2 linked regions of the Oryctolagus cuniculus genome follow. The protein of the gene in region 2 interacts with the protein of the main gene of each other region in a biochemical or structural test. Links are inferred from orthologs where the notes say so. Each region holds a gene or a part of one and is shown on either strand. Other genes may lie near its edges. The genes, in order: CREBZF and ATF4.

Region 1 (3,516 bases), on a different chromosome or scaffold from region 2:
TCTTATATGCATGTTAATTTCCAACTTCTCTAATGGAGAGATATTAAAATGTTACTTTCAGTAGGCTGAATTTCTGTATCTTCTACTGAAAACCTAAAAGGCATTCTTGAATATTTAAAAGATTTCTGTCATCTCCAGCAAAATAACTATTACATATGTGCATGCCCCAAATACTTATTTGTCAACCTCTGAAAAGTTGCATTAAAATTGGAATTCCAATTTGCACCTTGTACAACTCGGAACTTCCATTCAACTTCACCTGTTTCACTGTCTCCAAACTGTATCTCTATAAGCAGGTTTCAGTGTACAGTTGGAACCGATGTCATCCAAGGCCATGTCCACACTGGGGACAGAAGAGCTAGGTACACGCAAGTCTGAACAAGGGGACACATTAACAGCTATTTCAACCAGAAGAAGCATCTTAAATACATTATTGACCAGCACAAGTCTGTTTCCAGGGTGGACAGGGCCCAAATTAGATTCCCCTCCCACCTTCCAAAAAAGAAAAAACAAAAAGATCACACACACACAAATTGAGATGTTGCCCATTAAAGTAGACTAAGCAGCAGAGCATGAGCGTTACGTGAAGAGATGGATCCTTACCAGGTTGTGAGGCGGGAACGACTGTTCTGTAACCCCTACAACGGAGCCTGGCAGGAAGGAAATCACCTAAAAAAGAAACTGTCAGAGAGATTTAATAGTCACAGGTTATCATTAGGAGTTGGTTACAGTGTCACATTCATGCTTTTAGCTAAACACTTAAAGACTCAATATTACTTTTTTTCCTCCTCTGAAATGTGTCCAGTGAAGATGTCCCACTAAGGTGTTTTACATGGAGTAAGGGAGTTGAAAGGGGTAAACGCGGATAAAGAGCAGATTACTTGACCCTACATTTTAAGAGACGACGACGCCTTCCGAGCGCACGCCGAGCAGAACTCCACCGACACCTTATCCTTGTCCACATGAAGACACACTCCTCCCGCTGAGTCGTCCTCTTCCAGCACGTCCTGCTGCTGCTTTCCCACGGGCAACGCGTAGTCGTGGTCACCGGCGGGCGAGTCTCTGAAGAGCGAGGTGGTCAGCCGCAGTCCCACGCCGCTCAGCCGGCTCAGCAAGCGAGCCAGTCCAGTCTCGTTGGCCAAGACGGCCCGTAGGTAGCGACTCTCCTCCTGCAGTGCCTGCACGCGTTTGCTCAGCTCCCGATTCTCGGCCCGCAGCTCCTGGTTCTCGGCTGCCAGACCGCGGACTCGACTCTCCAGCCCCATCACGTACTCCTTCTTCTTCAGCCGATTTAGACGGGCAGCGGCCGCCGCCGCCTTCCGGGGACTCTTTGTCGCCGCCTGGGTGTTGTCGTTGCCGCCGCCGCCACCACTGCCGCCGCCGCCTCCGCCTCCCGGGGACTTTCTCCGCCTCTTTTCGCCGCCGCCACTGTCACTGCTGCTGCTGCAGCCTCCGATACCGTTTAACAGCCTCTGCAGTAGGTCGGAGAAGCGCTGCATCTCAGCGGCCGCGGCCTCGTCGTCGTCGTCCCCTCTCCAAAGGCCGCCGCTATCCGAGCCTCCGCCGGACGAGGAGAGAGGCCCAGGCGAGCTGAGCCCGGGCTCCAGGTGCCAGTCCGGCTGCCGAGGGTCCAGGAGATCCGCCAGTTCCAGCCCTGACAGAAAGTCCATGTCCTCGGTCTCTTCCCCGGGGACGCTGGCAATCGCTTCTTCCTCCATCTCCTCGGGGGAGGGCGCGCGGACGGCCAGGCCGCCGCGGCTCCCCCGCCCGGCCTCCAGCTCGTCAGCGTCGCCGTGCGGCTGCTGGCGGCCGGGAGATCCGGCCGCCGCCGTCTCCTCCTCCGCCGCTGCCGACGCTGCCGCCACCGCCGCCCGAGTCACGTCCGGGGGCAGCGAGCAGGTCGCAGCCGGCGCCGGGCTCTCGCTGCGGGTGGGGGAGTCGCTGCCCGACGCTGCCAGCAGCTTGGTCAGGCTATGCCTCATGGGGCCCAGCGACGGGCCAGCGTAGGCCCCGGCCCCTCAGACTGGGCCTCGCGGGCCCCAAAGGCCCCAGGCCCCAGCGCGGGCAGCCGGGGCGCCGGGCGAAATGAAATGGAAGGTAAATTTCAGTCGCCTGCCGCCTGGCTTGGCTGATGGACCCCCCGCACCGGTGCGGGGGCCAGGAACGGAAGATGGAAGCGGCGAGGCCCGGCGATGACTCGGCCGCGCCACCCAGACAACGGCCTGGACGGAAGTCGGTCCTCCTCCAACAGCCCCTCCCACCGCCTTTCGCGCGCCACCAAGCAGTGATATCGCGAGAGTTTAGGGTGCTTTGGAGTAGCAGTAATTCTGGTAATTTAGTGATGTCATAGTAACAGCGGCAAAATAAATAAATAAAACCCAGATTTTCACCCCGAAATCAATGTTACCCGATACCCAGACTCAAAACTTCAGCACTTTACAAGTAACATTTTCTTCTTATATGTAACTGTTCGTAAGCAATTATGTTGGTGCTGAATCATTCCCAAATTGCAGACAGAACGCCCCACCCTGCATATTCGTTTCGTATCTCTAAAAATACATTCTCTTTCGTAATCATAATGCAGGTATCAATTCCTGAGAAGAGTGCCATTCATTTACTAATATTATTAATATTCGGGACATATTCAGATGTCCTCAGTTTCAAAATAATCTTTTCTAGCAGATACTTTCTTCCGAGCTCAGATTCAAGCAGTCACTTATTGCATTTGGTTGTTTTAGGGTTTTATTTATTTTTTCCATTTCCACTTCTCAAACTACAACTGTTCCCTCCACACTCTACTTTTTCTTAACATTGGCTTTTTGAAGAGACGAGGTCAGTTATCTTGAACATTCTGGATGTGTCTTTTCATGTGTTATTCCTCTGGCCCCTCAAGGGATTTGAGATTTGAAACAGTATTTAATTATGCTATAATCCAGTGAAACAAAGCAATTCAAGTTTTCTTTAAAAATAAGACCAATGAAAGCATAGATGAAATAACCAGGTAAAGAATTCCAGCGGTGGAAAAGATTAATATTGAAGTAGTATGGATTCAATATCTTACATAGTTACCCAAGTTGAACTAAAAACAGATTAGGCTTCCTGGTAGTACAAATAAAAAGAGAGAAAACAAACTTTCCTTACTTTGTTCATAAATAAGGTGTGTATGAATTCTTTAATCACTTATCTACTTAATAGCTCTTACAGGTCTCTATGGGAGTCAATATTGTGGCAGTCTCAACAATAGCTGCTTTTATAGGACTGGTTTTTTTTAAACTAGGAATTACTTTAATCATTTTTATTAGAAAAAATTTCTGAGACACTAAAACTTCACAACAATTCAGAGGGGTTTTCAGGAGTTGGGGATCCTAAGTACTAGGAAGAAATGTTGGTATCCTGCTTCATTACGGATGGGTGGCATAGGTCATTAATGGGACACTTCTGGCGGCTAAGCCAATACCAAAACCCAGTGGAATGGTATTTCCTTCTAGAGTTAGTTTTCCTTCCTGCTGGCTCCCC
Region 2 (4,036 bases):
TGCGACCCAGCTGTTAGTATTTCCCTGTGTGAAAACATCTGACCTAGAGACAGAAGGAAACTCCAAGGTCACACGGCCAAGGAGTGGAAAAGCCAGCGTGGTTCCAGAACCTCCTAACACACGGGGGACCTCTGGGCGGCTCCCTGAGATTGAGACAAGGGAGACTCATGTGGAGGATTCGGGGAATCTGACAATGGGTCCCGGTCCCAGACTGTGGCTGTCCCTAACGGCTGGCCCAGAACAGCGGGGTCTGGCCCCCCAGCTCAGGGCCAGTGCTGGGGCATAGCAGGTGAAGCAGCCTGCAGTGCCAGAACCCCATGTGGGTGCCAGTTCGAATCCCAGCTGCTGCAGCTCTCTGCTGTGGTGAGTGCTTGGGCCCCTGCATCTGTCAGCTCCAGGCTTCTGCTGCAGCCCAGCCCTGGCTGCCGTGGCCATTGGGTGTGTGAGCCAGCAGATGGAGGACCGTCTCCAACTCTGCCTTCGAATAGACAGCTCTCCCATGATCTGTGTGTGTGCAGGCTGGAGCCAGTGACCACCCCCACACACACACACAGGAACACCGAACAAGGAAGTTGCAGCCACTCATGGAGTGAGTGCCCGCCCCAGACCAGATCCCACCATCCCGCGTGGGACTCTTGTTGCCCGCCCCACCACGCCCAGAGGGTGTGAGCCACAGGACAACTCCCAGGAATGCTTTCACTACAAAATAATTTATTAACAGCGGAGCCTCCTGTGCGTGCGCCCTAGGCGGGGACCCTCCTCCTGCCGCGGGCCGCCCGCACCTCCTCCAGCAGGTCCTTGAGGTACTGGATCTCCTTGGCCAGGCCGTCGGCCCTCTCCCGCAGGGCCGCGTTGCGCTCCTCCAGCCCCCGGCACTCGCCCGCCAGCGCCTCCTGCTCCGCCCGCTTCTTCTGCCGGTAGCGCGTGGCGGCCGTCTTGTTCTGCTCCATCTTCTTGAGCTTCTTCTCCAGCTTCTCGCCCTTCACGCGCGCCGCCGCGGCCGCCGCAGGCTCGTAGGGCTTGGGGCGGGCCGGGGCGGGGGGGCCCCTGTGCGGGGAGCCCCTGGGGGTGGGGGCGGAGGGGCTGCGCTGCGGGGAGCCCGGGCAGGACTCGGGGCTCATGCAGACGCCGCTGTCGTTGTCGGAGGGGCTGTCCTCCTCCTTGACGCCCTGCGGGACCACGGGGCCCAGGCCGGGCGACTCGGGCTTCCGGTCCCCGTCCGCGATGTCCACCTCGCTGCCCAGCTCCAAGCTGAACGACTCATCCGGGGAGGCGGCCGCGACCCCCAGCGACAGGGGCAGGGGCTGCAGGAAGGTGCAGGGGGCGACCTGCGGCAGGCTCGCGGGGAGGGGGCCGAGCGGGCTCCCTGCCTGGGGCGGCTCCTTGAGCGCGTCCAGGGCCAGGGGGGCGAAGAGGTCGCACGAGTCGTCCAGCGTGGCCAGCAGCTCGTCGGGCACGGCCTCCAGGTCGTCCAAGCTCAGCAGGGCGTCGAAGTCGAACTCCTTGAGGTCCACTTTCTCCAACATCCAGTCCGTCCCGGAGAAGGCGTCCTCTGCGGGGGCGCGAGCGAGGGCGCGTGAGGCCGGCGCCCCCCCCCCGACACGGGCGCCCCCTCCCACCCCCACCCCCCGCGGCGCTCACCCTTGCCGTCGGCGGGGGCGCCCAGCAGCCCGTCCGCCGCCAGCCATTCCGAGGAGCCCGCCGCAGCCTTGTCGCCGGGGGGCCCGGGAGGCTTCCAGGGCGTGGCCACCTCCAGGTAGTCGTCCAGGAGCCCCAGGCCCTCCTCAGCCCCCAAAGCCGCCTGGTCGAAGGGGGACGCCAAGTCCCCCGCCAACCCCGCGCTGTGCAGGAAGCTCATGTCGGCCGTGTCGCGGGGCTGCGCTGGAACCGGGGCAGGGGCTCAGCTCGAAGGTGTCTCTGTCCGTGACAGCAACGCTGCTGCTGGGTGCCGTGAGGAGCCTGCGGGCGAGCGGCAGGGGCGCCATCAGGGCGGGGGCCGGCCGGGCGGCAGGTGCACAGCGGCCATGGCCGCCCCCGCCGGGGCCGGCGCCCGGCCCGCCCGCCCGGCCCCGCCCCGTGACTCACCCCGCGCCGCCTCCCGCCGCCATCTTGGCCGCCGCCACGTTTCGCGGGGCGGCCACCGCGACCCCCGCCGGCGCAGAGCGGGGGCCGGGGCTCCGAGGACAGCGCGCCCCCACCTCCCCGGGGACGCGGGCGCCGGGCCGCGCTCTCCCGACCCCGCCCAAGGACACGCAAGCAGGAACCACGCGTCCCCGGCGCTCGTAAAACCGCTTCCGCCTCGGCGACGCGGCCCCGACCCCCGGCCGCAGGCCGCGCCCAAGCCCAGGCCCAGGCCCAGGGCCCGCAGACGCCGGGCCCCGGCCCCCTCGCCCGGCCCGGTACTCACGCCATGGCTTAAGCCGCTGGGGGTTGCCGCTGCAGAGCCTGGTGCTGCTGCCGCCGCTGCAAAGGCCAACGCTGCCGCAGGCACTGCTGCCTCTAATACGCCATGGTGGCCGCGGCCCTGCGGGACGGGAGGAGGAAGGGCACGGCTCGCAAGAGATCTACATCGACGGGCGGGCGCAGCGGTAATGGCGGCGGCGCGCGGCCCGCCGGGCTTTTATAGACTTGGTCGCCTCCGAGCCGCATCACAGGACGCATCCTTCCGCCGCGGCCATGTGACCCGCGCCTCCTGCCCACTCCCCGGCGTCCCCACCACTTTCCTCCCCCGAGCTTTTATGTCCGAGGCGTAGCCATGTACAGAAAAGTAGTTTACTTTCAAGATCTCACGTCGGGAAAAAGGCGCACTACTTTACAAGGCGTCCAAGATCAAAGAGTCTCGTCCTTTCCCCCTCGGATGCCCGGATGCGCGGAGGGATCTCTCTCAGGGGCGGGGCGTGAAGAGCCTTTCATTCCAAGGAGGCTTTTTATTGTGAAGGCCGAGGCCGCCCGGCTATCGCGCGAGACGCTGGCGGGGAGCGCGCGTCGAGATGATTGGCTCAGGCCTGAGGAGTCATATATACCTTGAGCTCCTATTGGCTCAGGGCCCGAGGGGGGCGGGCCACTCGGCGAAGGGGCCCGGGTCTGCGCGGGAAAGGGCGGGAGCGGCCTGGCGTGCAGCCGTGCCTTTGGTTGTAGCCTCGGCGGCCGCAGCGGTAGAAATCAGCGCCCAGCGGCCTCCGAGCGAGCCCGCCGCGAGCGGGCCCGGGCCTCGGGGCCGGGGAGCCTGCCGCCGTCCGGGGCCGGCTCTGCGTCCTCCCGCTGACCTCCGCGAGCCGCTGGCCAGCCTGCGTGTCCGCGGCGCCCTTTCTGCTGCAGGGCGTCGCTGCGGGGACGCCTCTGGCCTCTGCAGGCTCAGCCCCGCTGCGACCCCGGGTGGTTCCCACGAGCTCCGGACAAGGCCCGGTGGCCCTGCGGGGGACAGGAGTTCCCGGGGAGCCGGGCCCCGGCCCGCAGAGCTCCACTCCCGCGTCCCTTCCGCGAGCGCTGCTGGCTGGACAGACAACCTGCCCTGGGGCCAGGGCCACCCTTCCCAGGGTGCACGGGCAGCCCCGGCGCCCCCGTCTGTTGGCGGACACTGGCCGTGCTGGGGCCCGGCCCGCGCGCGGGACGCGCTCCCGCCACGCTAACTCGGGGTCCCCACTCCCGGCTACCCCTGTGGGGTCACTCTGCTTCCTCAGGGGGCTCCTCCCGGAACTGACCGGCGGCCGAGGCCTAGGGCGCGGCACTCTGCCCGGGGGTCAGGAGGAAGGCGGTGGGGGTGGGACTCCCGCGCCGCCACCGCGACCCCGCATCCATCCCGGGAGTCCCGCCCGCTCCCTGCTGATGCGCCCGGGAGAGCCGTGCTTGCGCCCCTGCGCCCACGTGGGCGACCCGGCGGAGTTCCAGCTCTTGGCCATCTGGGGAACGAACCAGATGGAAGAACTCCTAATTTTTGCCTTTCAAGTAAAGAAGCAAGTTTTTTAAACTTATTTGAGAGGTAAGAGTCACAGGGAGGCAGAGAGAGCTCCTCCATCCGCTGGTTCACTCCCCAGTT

Evidence for each region.
Region 1: the proteins of ATF4 (region 2) and CREBZF form a complex in vitro, tested with the Homo sapiens proteins (2 studies listed by IntAct, with this or other methods). The link is inferred for Oryctolagus cuniculus from reciprocal best matches to the Homo sapiens genes ATF4 and CREBZF.

The regions. Positions count from the first base shown.
Region 1 is NC_091432.1:76,750,586-76,754,101, forward strand, and holds CREBZF (CREB/ATF bZIP transcription factor), read right to left. Parts: upstream 2,136-3,516; 5' UTR 1,983-2,135; coding exon 888-1,982; 3' UTR 680-887; downstream 1-679.
Region 2 is NC_091442.1:115,754,791-115,758,826, reverse strand, and holds ATF4 (cyclic AMP-dependent transcription factor ATF-4), read right to left. Parts: upstream 2,612-4,036; 5' UTR 2,408-2,611; intron 1,960-2,407; 5' UTR 1,859-1,959; coding exon 1,642-1,858; intron 1,553-1,641; coding exon 744-1,552; 3' UTR 692-743; downstream 1-691. UniProt on the Homo sapiens protein: Transcription factor that binds the cAMP response element (CRE) (consensus: 5'-GTGACGT[AC][AG]-3') and displays two biological functions, as regulator of metabolic and redox processes under normal cellular conditions, and as master transcription factor during integrated stress response (ISR).